4 linked regions of the Callithrix jacchus genome follow. The protein of the gene in region 4 purifies or fractionates together with the protein of the main gene of each other region. This does not show direct contact. Links are inferred from orthologs where the notes say so. Each region holds a gene or a part of one and is shown on either strand. Other genes may lie near its edges.

The links.
Region 1: the proteins of IFT57 (region 4) and IFT172 purify together in Homo sapiens (affinity purification with mass spectrometry; 3 studies listed by BioGRID and IntAct, counting the BioPlex papers as one, with this or other methods). This does not show direct contact. The link is inferred for Callithrix jacchus from reciprocal best matches to the Homo sapiens genes IFT57 and IFT172.
Region 2: the proteins of IFT57 (region 4) and IFT46 purify together in Homo sapiens (affinity purification with mass spectrometry; 3 studies listed by BioGRID and IntAct, counting the BioPlex papers as one, with this or other methods). This does not show direct contact. The link is inferred for Callithrix jacchus from reciprocal best matches to the Homo sapiens genes IFT57 and IFT46.
Region 3: the proteins of IFT57 (region 4) and IFT74 purify together in Homo sapiens (affinity purification with mass spectrometry; 3 studies listed by BioGRID and IntAct, counting the BioPlex papers as one, with this or other methods). This does not show direct contact. The link is inferred for Callithrix jacchus from reciprocal best matches to the Homo sapiens genes IFT57 and IFT74.

Annotation. Positions count from the first base shown.
Region 1 is NC_133515.1:87,579,188-87,581,878, reverse strand, and holds part of IFT172 (intraflagellar transport protein 172 homolog), read right to left. Parts: intron 2,626-2,691; coding exon 2,509-2,625; intron 1,594-2,508; coding exon 1,483-1,593; intron 1,291-1,482; coding exon 1,171-1,290; intron 321-1,170; coding exon 225-320; intron 6-224; coding exon 1-5. UniProt on the Homo sapiens protein: Required for the maintenance and formation of cilia. Plays an indirect role in hedgehog (Hh) signaling, cilia being required for all activity of the hedgehog pathway.
Region 2 is NC_133511.1:18,216,125-18,220,480, reverse strand, and holds the start of IFT46 (intraflagellar transport protein 46 homolog), read left to right. Parts: upstream 1-1,548; 5' UTR 1,549-1,760; intron 1,761-2,428; 5' UTR 2,429-2,525; intron 2,526-3,282; 5' UTR 3,283-3,375; intron 3,376-4,356. UniProt on the Homo sapiens protein: Forms part of a complex involved in intraflagellar transport (IFT), the bi-directional movement of particles required for the assembly, maintenance and functioning of primary cilia. May play a role in chondrocyte maturation and skeletogenesis.
Region 3 is NC_133502.1:134,177,594-134,181,162, reverse strand, and holds part of IFT74 (intraflagellar transport protein 74 homolog), read right to left. Parts: intron 892-3,569; coding exon 753-891; intron 1-752. UniProt on the Homo sapiens protein: Component of the intraflagellar transport (IFT) complex B: together with IFT81, forms a tubulin-binding module that specifically mediates transport of tubulin within the cilium. Binds beta-tubulin via its basic region. Required for ciliogenesis.
Region 4 is NC_133516.1:99,272,817-99,276,385, reverse strand, and holds part of IFT57 (intraflagellar transport protein 57 homolog), read left to right. Parts: coding exon 1-107; intron 108-926; coding exon 927-1,045; intron 1,046-3,569. UniProt on the Homo sapiens protein: Required for the formation of cilia. Plays an indirect role in sonic hedgehog signaling, cilia being required for all activity of the hedgehog pathway.

The sequences.
Region 1 (2,691 bases), on a different chromosome or scaffold from region 4:
ACTGCCTGCAGCAGAGAAAAGTTGCAAATGGGAGTGAGCAAGCTGGGCCTGGATGTTACTTCTCTGGGATGCAGGAGAAAAATCCAGGAAGACATAGGAGGATTATATCCTCCACAACTTCAGCCCTACACTCAGCTTTCTGCTACCTGAGCAGAAGGGATATTCTCTATTTTCCAACCTTTGACTTCCTCCCATCTGCCCCACCCTTCCTTGTCCCAGCTCACCTTGGCAGCAATGCCTGCTTCATAGAAGGCTTTGTCTACAGGTAGTAGCTGGGTGTGACGCAAGAGTGAAACAGAAAGCCTGGCAGCCACAGTTTCCTGGGATTAAAGTCAAAGCATTATGAATACGGCACTAAAGTGACTGAGCTACAGACCAATGATCCTGTAAAGCAGCCACAGAACTAAAAACAACAAGCAATATTATACTGCTCTGGAGCTCGAGCTGTTCTGGGTCTTATTTTTATTTATTTATTTTTTTCTGAATAAGAGACCTGGGCCTAGTTTCAATTTTTTTTTTTTTTTTTTTTTTAAATAGAGTCTTACTCTGTTGCCCAGGCTGGAGTGCAATTTCAGCTCATTGCAACTTCTGCCTCCCAGATTCAAGCAATTCTCATGCCTCAGCCTCCCAAGTTAGGACTACAAGCGTGCACTATCATGCCAAGTTAATTTTTATATTTTTAGTATGGGATTTTGCCATGTTGGCCAGGCTGGTCTTGAACCCCTGACCTCAAGTGGCCCACCTACCTAAGGCTCCCCTCCCAAAGTGCTGGGATTACAGGTGTGAGCCACTGTGCCTGGCTGCCTAGATTCTTTCTAAGGTTCTTTCCACTTCTAGAATTCTATTATCCAGGTACATGATATAAATATATAGTAAACAGTCATAAATAAGCCCAAAATATGTGTACATTACAAGAGGTGAATAAAGAAATCATGGGATTTGGATGTTTAAACATAATGAAGCTGGAGCTGTGTGGGCACAGAGCCCTAAGAAGGTGAGAAGAAAACCTCAGCAAGGGCTAAAGATTTGTTTAGACAGAAGAGAAGCTGAAAGAGAGGGAGCAGATTCAAGAGCCTAAGTTGAAGAATCCAGAATGTGAGACAATTCAGTTTCATACATCTGCAGTGTGTGAAACTGACTGAGTGCTCCTCTGCCCCCTCTACATCTCACCAGCTGTTTGACACTCTGGGCTGCAGAGCGGGTGGCATAGTAATGAGCGATCAGCAGCATCGTCTTGAACTCCTCATGGGCTGGAGAGTTTGCCTCACTGGACTTCACCAGGTTTTCACACTAGAAGAGGGAGACAGCACAGCCTGGCTCAGGGGTCAGAGGAGTGCCAAGGCCATAGAGTGGTCTCCGATGGCCACCTGGCAGAGGAAGGTAAAATACATCTGAGAATAAAGGTTTACATGCATGAAAGAAGAGATGAAGACAAGGACAGGCAGAGCAGCCCTTTTACTCTTGTCAACCCAACTTCCTCACCAGGTTGAAAAGGACATCTCGAAGATCAGCCCAGCTATGATAGGCCTCAGCGCAGTTGGTCCCAGGAGAGCTCACCATGTCAGTGAAGATCCTTTTGTAGATATTGAAGTTCTAGAGGTAGAGGGGAGAAGGGCATTTGAGAAGGGCACAGCTAGAAGAGAAAGTCAGTGAAAGTGGGGCAAAAGGGACAGGCTTTGTGTGTAGAAATAGTTATGTGTGTGTTCAAGAGCTGGGAGACAGTGGTAGATTATTAAGTGCTGATTTTTTTAATGAAGTGAATTATTCATAAGTGCTGTTTATTTTTGATGAAGAGAAAAGAGGAAGAAAATAACTATTTTTTAGCTGGTGCTCTGTGAGTGGGCAACTGTACAAATGTAAGTACAGAGTTACAACATTAATGGGCTGTGACTCTCAGATCAGGGAGCAGTGTTCATTCTCTGGAGGAAGTCAGTAAAAAACCTAGAGGTGTGTGTAGGATTCATCTCTGAAAGACAGGTGGCTGTGTATTTGCTAACAGCATGGGGAGCTCCATGGGTGTTTCTTTTCTTTTCTTTTTGAGACGGAGTTTCGCTCTTGTTACCCAGGCTGGAGTGCAATGGTGCAATCTCGGCTCACGACAACCTCTGCCTCCTGTGTTCAGGCAATTCTGCCTCATCCTCCTGAGTAGCTGAAATTACAGGCACGCACCACTGTGCCCAGCTAATTTTTTGTATTTTTAGTAGAGACGGGGTTTCACCATGTTGACCAGGATGGTCTTGATCTCTTGACCTCGTGATCCACCCGCCTCGGCCTCCCAAAGTGCTGGGAGGGTGTTTCTTTAAACAGAAGTTGTAAGTTTCTGCAAACTTCTCTCCATGCTCTTAGCAAATACACAACCTCCAGAGAGGCTGTACATTTCTGAAGATGCATGGCAGGCTCTGGACATGACGTTCTCTAAGGATAGAATCCTCTGAGAAGATAGTTCCTGAGAGGAGAGGAGAAACAGTTTCCTTGTGGAAACATTTAACCCAAGAAGAAGGCAGGTACCTGTGGGTTAGCAGGGGCTCCGTGATGTACATACAGGGCCAATGCCTGGGCAGAGCTACCCTCTCGGATCAAGTGAGTTGCATACAAAGCCACGTATTTGTGCAGAATCTTGTAGTTCTGTACAGGGGTGGAGGAAAAGTTGGGATCAGTAAGACCAAGCAGTGAGGGTAGAGTGGTGACTTG
Region 2 (4,356 bases), on a different chromosome or scaffold from region 4:
TATATTTGAGGTAGGGTCTCGCTCTGTCGCCCAGGCTGGAGTGAATGTAGTGGCCCAATCTCAGTTCACTACAACCTCTGCCTCCCAGGCTCAAGCAATCCTTCTGCCTCAGCTTCCGGAGTGGCTGGTACTACAGGTGCGTGCCACCAAGTACTTTTTTTTTTTTTTTTTAATGGCGAAGGTGGTTTTCGCTATGTTGCTCTAGCTAGTCTTGAACTCCTGGACTCAAGCAGTCTTCCCAGCTCTGCCTCTGGAAGTGCTGGGATTACCGGCATGAGCCACCCCCCACCCCCGGCCTCCAGTATTTTATGTCTCTCTCTCCCTGACTTCCCAAATTAATTATATCTATAGTTTGAAAATATTTGTTCCTTACATCTCCATTCACTTATTCTTTGATTCATCCACCCAAGGAGCATTTTTAGTGTCTAATTTCTGCAAGGTACTGGTGTTACAAAGTTTAAAAATTAATTAGACACAAATCCTGCTTTAAATAAATTCAGTTTTCTTTAGCAAATAAGAAAGGACACATAGTTAAATTTGAATCTCAGAGCCCGGCGAGGTGGCCCACGCCTGTAATCCCAGCACTTTAGGAAACCGAGGCAGGTGGATCACGAGGTCAGGAGTTTGAGACCAGCCTGACCAACATGGTGAAACCCCGTCTCTACTAACAAAAATTAGCTAGGCGTGGTGTTGCGTGCCTGTAATCCCAGCTACTCAGGAGGTTGAGGCAGGAGAATTGCTTGAACCTGAGAGGCAGAGGTTGCAGTGAGCCGAGATTGCGCCACTGCACCCCAGCCTGGGCGACGGAGCGAGACTGTCTCAAAAAACAAACAAACAAAAACAAAAAACAAAACAAAAAAACACTGAGGCCAGGAGCTGTGGCTCACGCCTATAATCCCAGTACTTTGGGAGGCTGAGGCGGGTGGATCACGAGGTCAAGAGATCAAGACCATGCTGGTCAGCAAGGTGAAACCCCGTCTCTACTAAAAATACAAAAATTAGCTGGGCATGGTGGTGCACGCCTGTAGTCCCAGCTACTCGGGAGGCTGAGGCAGGAGAATTGCTTGAACCCAGGAGACGGAGGTTGCGGTGAGCCGAGATCGCGCCATTGCACTCCAGCCTGGGTAACAAGAGCGAAACTCCGTCTCAAAAAAAAAAAAAAAAAAAAAAGGAACCTCAGATACACAAGGAATAACTTATTAGTATAATTATGTGCCATGCCATGGCACCATGTGGTGGGGGAGACTATATTGTAACATAGTGCTGTACAGAGTGCTGCAGAATTTTCCCTGGAGAGTGTGTCTACATTCTGGTAAGACTGATTAGGAGGAACTGCACCCCCAGAGATTGTTGCCCTGGGTGAAACAAACGCACTCAGTTTCCAGATTGCAGAGCTAACTCTGCGAGCCCGAAACTTCATCAGCCGGCGTTGCCATCCGCAGCCGCTAGATGCCGCAACAGACGCATTTACTGAAACCATAGACAAACGCGACATGGCCGCCCAGAGAGGCTTTATTCGTGCCCTCTGGATCTTCTTCCTGCGTAGACAGCCTTCGCGGGTGAGGCGTAACGTGCGGGAGGTCTCACGAGAGTGGAAGCAAATCTCGCGAATTTCAACTTAACCTTTTTACCTAGCGACTGAAAACAGGCAGTTGCTCGGCGTAGAATCTAAGTGGCCCGACTTTGACACTGGAGTGATACCCCAGCCCTAGGCTGGGGTTCTTTCCATTATAGAGGAGACGGATTCAGAGGGGCTACAGGTAATTAGTACTCACCCCAGCAGAAAGGGTACTGTCTTTCTAGAGGGGCTTAAGAGGACTCCCCTTTACCCCATCCCCGGTTACCTCTTCCCATCTCCATGATAACTGTTCCTTTGCCACCGTGACCAACCATCCTGTTTCCTTTATTCCCCACCAGACTTAGGTGGGATCTTATCTGCAAGTCGAGGGTGAAGGTGGAGGTGATGCTTTTGGGATTATTGGATCGGACTGAGAGACTGGAGTTTCCCCTCTTTTTGGGGTCCCTCCCTCCCCACCCCACCCCACCCCACAGCTGGCTCCAGAGACAAAACTCTTCCTAGGACCTCTGCAGCCTCCCCGGAGAAACCTCATCAGCCTTGGCCATCGACTTACGAATAGTGTTCTGCCCTTGCGCGTGGTCTTACAGCTTTGGCAAGCTGCAGAAGTTGGCTCTCTTTCCCTCCACGATTCCCTGGTTGCTCAGCCAGCCTGCCAGCAATTCTTAAATAAGGGCTGCAACAGAATGACTTAACTGCTTAACCGGGGGCCAAGAAGCCTTAAGGAAAGTTTGATGGGGTGACAGTTTTATGAAAAACTGGTTTCTTGGGTAAGGAAGAGGAGCCAATGCTGGTTTGGAATATATAATGTCCCATGATAGGAGCTATGTAATCGTGTCTCCTTTTGCTTAGACCGAGGTTGTTGAAAACCAGACATATGATGAGCGTCTAGAGATTAACGACTCAGAAGAGGTTGCAAGTATTTATACTCCAACCCCAAGACACCAAGGTAAGAAAGGAATGAAAAGGAAGAGAAATGGTACTCAAAGAACAGGATGGATTCACAGTTGTCTTCAAGAAGTTCTTATTTTATTTTATTTTAAATTTATTATTTTTTTGAAACGGAGTCTCCCTCTGTTGCCCAGGCTGGTGTGCAGTGGTGCAATCTCAGCTCACTGCAACCTCCGCCTGCCAGGTTCACACGATTCTCTGGCCTCAGCCTCCTGAGTAGCTGGGACTACGGGCACATCCTTCCATGCCTGGCTAAGTTTTTTTTTTTTTTTTTTTTTGTAGTTTTGTGGCGATGGGGTTTCATCATGTTTGCCAGGCTGGTCTTGAACTCCTGACCTCAGGTGATCCACCCTCCTCAGCGTCCCAAAGTGCTGGGATTACAGGCGTGAGCCACTGCGCCTGGCCGAAGTTCCTATTTTATAATAGCATATGTTGACTTTTCAGAGTCAAGTTACTTCACTTGCTATTGTTTGTTTTCTTACTAGTTAAGGTGGAAAAATCATAGCCTTCCAAATTACAGGATTTTCCCCCAATCCAACCCTATCACCATTTACTTCATGTTACTGCTTTGCTCACTATCTGCCAGGAATTCACTGTTCTTTTTTTTTTTTTTTAACTTATGTTTTCCCCAGCTTTGAAGATGCTTCATAATCTGCCCTTAGCCTGCATCCCCAACCCAAATCACAGTGAAATATTTTTAGAGGACTGGACACGATTTATTTATTCAACAAATTTTTTTTTTCTTAATTTTATAGAGACGAGGTCTTGCTATGTTGCCGAGGCTGATCTTGAACTCCTAGCCTCATGCAGTCCTTCCACTTCGGCCTCCCAAAGTGCCAGGATTACAGGTGTGAGCCATCTTGCCTAAAATTTTAAAATGCCTACTATGTGCCAGCCTTATGCCTGGCACTTGGGTAAATAGTGTTAAATGACACAATGTCCCTGCTATCTCAATGCTTGTAGTCATGGGAGGCAAATGACAAATGAGTAAACAAATTCCAAATGTGGAAAGTGCTCTGATGGAGGAAGATTGTTTGCTGTGAAGGAGAATAACAGTGAGGAAGGAGACCCACACTTTTTTGAGATAGAGTCTCACTGTATCGCCCAAGCTAGAGTGCAGTGGTGCAATCTCGGCTCGCTACAACCTCCGCCTCCTGATTTCAAGCAATCCTCCCGCCTCAGCCTTCCGAGTAGCTGGCATTACCACGCCCAGCTAATTTTTGTATTTTTAGTAGAGACGGGGTTTCACCGTGTTGGCCAGGCTGGTCTTGGACTCCTGACCTCAAGCGATCTCCCACCTCAGCTTCCCAAAGTGCTGGGATCACAGGCATTAGCCATCCCGCCCAGCCAGAGACCCACTTTTGATAGGGTGATCAGGGAAGATCTAAAGGGGCGCTATGTGAGACTGAAAGATGGCAAGAATCCAGACACTGAGGAAAAGTAGGCCAGGAAGAGGAAATAATATGTGAGATGTGAAAAACCTTGAAGCCTGAAAGAACTTGGCTTAGTTTGAGGACCTGAGAGACCAGTTTACAGTAGAGGGGACTCTACTGTGTGATACAGTCAGATCAGAGAGGTAGGGCAGGAGGCATAACAAGCAGAGCTTTGGAGGCTGTGTTGCTGTCGTGTGTGGAATGGACTGTTGGGATGGCTGAGTTGAGATGATAGTGGCTTGGCCTCTGGTGAGGAAGTTGAGAATAAGGAAAAGAGGCAAATGCTATACCAGACAGATGGTCGTAGAATCACTAAGACTTGCTGGACTGGTTTTAACTCGTGAGTTAGGAATCAAGGATGACATCCAGGGTTTCTGTTTGTTTATTGTGGTGAAA
Region 3 (3,569 bases), on a different chromosome or scaffold from region 4:
AGTGGTGCAATCTCGGCTCACTGCAACCTCCACCTGTGACCTATGATGCCTCTTAATGATTGCATTAAAATGTTAAAAGGCCTCATACGTCATAGACTTTTAAAATTTATAGGCAAGTATTTTTATAAGTGCAAGTATTTATAGACAAGTTTTTTTTTGAGACGGAGTTTCGCTGTTGTTACCTAGACTGGAGTGCAATGGCACGATCTCGGCTCACCACAACCTCCGCCTTCTGGGTTCAAGCGATTCTCCTGCCTTAGCCTCCTGAGTAGCTGGGACTACAGGCATGCACCACTGTGCCCAGCTAATTTTTCCATTTTTAGTAGAGACAGGGTTTCACCTTGTTGACCAGGATGGTCTCGATCTCTTGACCTCGTGATCCACCCGCCTCGGCCTCCCAAAGTGCTAGGATTATAGGCGTGAGCCACCGCGCCCGGCCTAGACAAGTATTTTTAATAAATGCAAGTATTTCATGCATCTTTATGAAATGCAAAATGAATAAACGGAAGTGAACAAAAAATAATTAGAGTAAAAGCTAGGTCGTCAAGCAGTGTAAGAAAATTACGTTTTCTAAATAAATACTTCTCAAATATGAATGTCTGTATGAATCAGCTGGGGACCCTGTTAAAATGAAAACTCTGATCTCAAAGTCTAGTCAAGTGCTCACGGGATGCTGATGCTGCTGACATTTAAACTATACTTTTAGTAGCAAGACTGATATGTGCTTGGCACACAGTAGGAATTGCTATCACCTGTAATAGTTTCTCATTTGTGGTTTTCATCTCCAGGTACTTGACTTGGTTTTCAAGAGACATATTTTTGATAATGTCATCTGCTGCTTGTTTTTCCTGTTCAATTTCTTCTTCTACGCTTCTTATTTGTTTTTCTTTCCTGAAATCAAAAGCACATAATACTCCTGATGCAATACTGAAAAAAAAAATCCAATTATTTTACACAAGTCACAGTCCTAATTTAACAGAATACTTAAAGATATTCAACCATAGTGTGTGACTGAAAAGTCTTTATATTTGTACTAAAAAATGCTATTTGACCTATATAAAATTTGGCCCCATTAGCACAAACTTACTTTACATCTTTCTCTTCTCCATCCCCAAATTCCTCTACTTCCTTACTCTCCATTTTACTTTACTAAGAAATCACAAAGATTATCAGAGAAAATCCTTAATAACTTATATATATGAGGATGCATTTATACATTTTTAAAATCGTACCTTTAAAGTTTAGACAAGAAGTTTTAGAATTGTGGTTTTCAAGCATCCGTCAGCCATAAAATTTTTTGACCAAATTAAGTATCGTATAGCAGTTTGCTATGTAAATCATGCAGTGCAGCTCTGACAGAACTAGGGAGTAGAGAAATCTACAGTTCAATTCAATTTTTTAAAAATTATGGCTTTAGATTAGTAATATACTTGCTTAAATTCTCTTTTACTTACTGCTTTAGTTAACGTTGCTATTTCACAAACTATTGCTATTTTTTAGCACGGCAAAATATTAAGCTACTGTCTCTAAAAAATAACTGAAAGATTACACACGTAATCATATAAAAGTAGTAATAGCGAAATTAATTAGAAGCAATAACCATTTTTATTATAGAATCCAAAGAAATACCAATGACATGTCACTTATTGCCTAGGGAAGGTCAATTACTGATAAGGTGGAGAAAAATTCTGCAAAAAAAATAGGTAAGATGCCACTTATCTAAATACTTTCAAGATTCACATTTTAGCCGGGTTCAAGCCTGTAATCCCAGCACTTTGGGAGGCCGAGGGGGGTGGATCACGAGGTCAAGAGATCGAGACCATCCTGGTCAACATGGTGAAACCCCGTCTCTACTAAAAACACAAAAAATTAGCTGGGCATGGTGGTGCGTGCCTGTAATCCCAGCTACTCAGGAGGCTGAGGCAGGAGAACTGCCTGAACCCAGGAGGCGGAGGTTGCAGTGAGCAGAGATGACGCCATTGCACTCCAGCCTGGGTAACAAGAGCAAAACTCCACCTAAAAAAAAAAAAAGATTCACATTTTATAAAAAGCTTGATTCAACATACATTTTTAGTCCCAAGATCATTAATTTCCATTTTGGGATTCAAAATCTGATTCACCTATCACTATTTACTCTCTTTCACTCACAGATACCAACCTCTGCAGTTTTCAGAATCACCAAATAAGGCTGTAGATCCACATATCCCCTATACAACTTCTACACATTCATATCCTACTATTAGAATAAACAACCTAAATTCAGAAATTTCTCTACAAAAAAAATCTCCAAAATAACCAAGTAAAAGATGAACATAATAAAACAGACAACCTGGAATTTCAATTTATTTTTGCCTCAATTTATTTATTTTTGTCGGAGAAGTGATATCTTCAATTGGAGCTTCAATTTCAACAGTATAACAAACGTGTTTCCTGCTGCTACAATTTGTATAGGTATATGAGCTTCTGCTACAATTTGCATAGGTATATGAGCTCACAGAATTTGAAAGAGGAAAATATGTATTTCAATCTCTTTATTTCATAGATTAAGGATACTGAAGCCCAGTGGAATTCATCTTTTGGAACTAATTCATTTTAAACTTGATTACTGACTACCAACAATGTTTCTTCCCACAATGTAGTTAGATGAGAACTAATGTTGTAGTAAAGCATTCCATTTTACATAGGAGAAATTACGGCATAAGAAACGTCAACTGATTTCCTAAAGGCCATATAATGTCCAGGTGTCAGGTCTTTTTGATGCTCTGAGCACTTTGCTCCTGTTACAACTTGGCAATAAAACCACTGATGATGGTGTCAAAAAAATAAGTAAACAAGAAGTTGAAACTCAATAGAATATACAACTTGGTGGTATCTTTACAGTTTGAATCCTTCCCTCCCTCCTTTGTTCTCCCTCCTTCCCTCCCTTCTCCCTCCTCCACGGATGATGGTGTCATAAAAATAAGTAAACCACAGAGTTGAAACTCAACAGAATACAAGTACCTTTACAATCTGAATCCCTCTCTCCACAATTTGAATCCCTCTCTCCCTCCTTTCTTCTCTCTCCCCCGCCTCCGCCTCCTCCTCCTTCTCCTCCCCTTCCCCCTCCCCCTCCTCCTCCTCCTTTTCTCTCCCTCTCCCTCTCTCTCTCTCTCTCTCTCTCTCTCTCTCAACTTTCCTCTTTCTTGACACCACATGACTTTCCACCCAGGCTGGACTATGATACAATCATGCCTCACTACAGGCTCCAACTTCTTAGCTCAAGCCATTCCCCAACCTCAGCCTCCCAAGTATCTGGGACTAAAGGCACACAACACCATGCCTAACTAACATTCTTATTTTTTTATTTTGAGCAGAGACAAGGTCCTGCTAAGTCAGCCAGACTGCTCTCAAATTTCTGAGTTCAAATTATTCTCTCACCTTGGCCTCCCAAAGTGCTGGGATTACCTCAATTTGAATCTTTCTAAGCACAAAATACCTTCAGGACAAACATAAATTAATTTAGCAACAGTATATCTTTCAGAAGTATTCATTTTCAATATTGTAAACGCTAAATCAACAAGTAAAATTGT
Region 4 (3,569 bases):
TTGCTGCATGGCTGATTAATAAAGCAGGACGTCCCTTTGAACGGCCTCAAGAATGTGATGACCCTAATGCAACAACATCTAACATACTTTCCGAGCTTAGGTCATTTGTAAGTGTAAACGACCATTCTTTCTCCATATTCTCAAGTTATGAATTTTAATATTGGTAATTTAATAACAAATGCTAGCCATTTAGATGAATTCTCTGTAAATATAATTAGTATGAATTCATTTTGAGGTAAAGCCTCAAAATAGTTAATATTATAACATTAATGTCACTCCTGAAAATGTTCAGTGTATACTCTTTATTAGCCCAAAGTAGTATTTTTTTAAAAAAATCTTGATGTGTCTGAGAGTTAGACTTTTGGGTGGTTAATTCTTGATCTAAAAAATGATAATTAAACCCTATAAAATCAAAACACTTTCTATACTGAAAGGGAACGTGGACTTAAAGACCGTGATAGCAGTGTACTTTTTCATTTCTGACTTTTCCTGGGCAAGCAGTAAGATATTTTTGGCACAAATGTTCCTAATTTTTGACAAGTGAATCATTCTGTCCTTAAACATAGTTGTTTAAATGGTTTTACTGGTTTCATTTTCCCTCTAGTAAGATCAATAATTAGACTAGAAAACACTAGAACTTATTCCTCCTAACTGTAATTTTGTACTCACCCACATCAATATGCAATATGCTATGATGTTATTACCTTTTAATTTCAGACCTTTAACAATAAAAGTATTTCCAGTACTTTTATGTATCAATGGATTACAAAGACTTAAAATGGATTTCTAAGAAACAATGTAATTACAGTTATTGTAAATCTTTGAAAGAAAAGTGATACATCTATTCAGCAGTTCTTTGCTTAAAATATTTTGATATTTGGAGTATAACTAACTAATAACACCCTGTTTTATCTTTTGTTTTTCAGGGGAGAACTGCAGATTTTCCTCCTTCAAAATTAAAGTCAGGTTGTGGAGAACCTGTATGCTATGTTCTTGATTGCTTAGCTGAAGAAGCATTGAAATATATTGGTTTCACCTGGAAAAGGTAAAAACTACCCAACCTGATAATAGTAATTTTGTGTGCAAAGCGTTTTCCTCTGAGGGTGCAGAGATGTTCAATTAAACATAAAATAATTATTTCTTTTTGACTATTCTAAATTGAAAATGGCACAGATAATTAAGAAAAGCCAGTATAGACAAAATTAGGATGTCTGATGTCTTGAAGATTAATTCTGAAGTAAGGCGTTACATATTATTGTGCCTCTTCCCTATTCAAATATGTAATTATTGAAGGTTTAACTGTGACTATATATCTTTGTAAATTCTGATATTTTTAAAAAGTCTCTCGTACATATATTTATACACACAAACATAGTATGTACACGGCGGGAACTGATAGCTACAGATTTAAGGAAAAACTGGAAATTAATATAGTACTTTAAGTGGGATTTTCTCCTTTACTTAAGTTACTGGGCAGGAATAATGAGGAAAGTACCTGACCCTCTCCTAGACATTGGTCATTGCTTTCGTGTCCAACTTGACAGTGCTTTGTTTATTTCTCTTATTATATTGCATTTATTCTATGGTATTAAAATGGTTATTTCTTTACTGTTCTGACGTTCTTGCTAGAAATCATGAAATCTTCGCAAGTACTCTGGAAGTTAGCATAATGCGTGGTGTATCTTAGATGTTTAATAGATATTGAGCATATAGATGAAACAAAACATTTGAAAACTCAATTTAAAGAGATTATAATTAGAAAATATAAATTTTATGCTCTGCAGTTTGGGATTATTAATAGGTTAGAATGTAGAAGGCACTACGCAGGTAAAATGTGAGTGAGCAATGTTTTCTTAATTAGAACTAACTTCTGTAGAAAGATATATATATGTCTTTATATATGTATATATATATAGAAATATATATATATACACATATATATATTATTTCCTGTTAACATTTTAATGTATATTCAGTTATATTCTTTTAGATACAATCTCCCTATTAAGTTTCTTTAATAACTTCCTTGAATTAGCTTATTGGGATGAGCCATATAAAATTACTCATATTCATCTATTTTTAAACTAAAAAATGGCAATTTCATATGCTTCAATCCAAACATGCAAGAGAAGATAAGTTACGAGATGTATTTAGCATTTTCAAAAGTTACTGAATCCATATCCCAGTATATTGTAAATTCACCAGAAGCTATTGTGTAGAGTCTCAACCACTAGTCTATTTTGCACTTCCTTTGTTTCCTGCCACAACTTATTCCTGGCCTATGTATTGTAATTTGGATAATTTATTTTTTAGTTTTGTTTTTAATTGACACATAATAACTGTAAATTTTGGGGTACAGTGTGATGTTTCAATACATGTATGCAATATACAATGATCACATTAGTGACATTAACGTATCCATCATTTCAAACATTTATCATTTGTTTGTGGTGAGACCACTCTAAATCTCTTTAAGCTATTTTCAAATATATAATATATTATTGTTAACTAATATATAATATTGTTAACTGTAGTCACCCTTCTGTGCACTGGAACACTAGACCTTACTTTGTACTCACCCACTTTGACCAACTGCTCCCCATTCTCCTTTCCCCCTACCCTTCCCAGCTTATTGTAACCCCTGTTATACTCTCCACTTCTGCGATATTTGTATTTCTGTGCCTAGCTTATTTCACTTGACATAATGTCCTCCAGGCTTATATGGGTTGCTGCAAATGACAGAATTTCGTTCTCCCTTATGAATAGTATTCCACTATGTAAATATGCCACACTTTCTTTCTCCATTCAACCTTTGATGGATACTTAGGTTGGATTCCATATCTTGAGTATTGTGAATAGTGCTGCAGTGAACATCGGAGTGCAGATATCTCTAACATACTGATTTCTTTTTTTTTTTTTTTTTTTTGGATATATAATCAGTACTGGGAGTGATTGCTGGATCATAGAGTAGTTGTATTTTTAGTGTTCTGAGGAACCTCCACAGTGTTCTCCATAGTGGCTGTACTAATACTGTACATACCCACCAATAGTGTACAAGGGTTCCCGTTTCTCCATATCCTCACCAGCTTTTGTTATTTGTGGGGGCGAGGGGTTGAGTAACAGCTGTTCTAACTGGGGTGAGATGGTATCTCATTGTGGTTTTGATTTGCATTTCCCTGATGATGTTGGGCATTTTTACATGTATCTGTTGGCTATTTTTATGCAAGTTTTGAGAAATATCTATTAAGATTTTCTGCCCATTTTCCAAATTGGACTACTTAGTTTCTTTGTTGTTGTTTTGCTACTGAGTTGCTTGAGTTTATTATACATACTGGGTGTTAACTTCTTGTCAGATGGGTGGTTTGCAGATATCTTCCCCCATTCTGTGGGTTGTCTCTTCACTCTTGATTGTTTCCTTAAGTTTGATATAATCGTGTTTGTCTATTTTTGCTTTTGTTGCCTGTGCTTTTGAGGTCTTATCCAACAAATTCTTGTCCAGACAATGTCGTGAAGTGTTTTTCCCCACATTTTCTCTAGCATCTTCAGTTTCAGGTTGTATATTTAAGTCT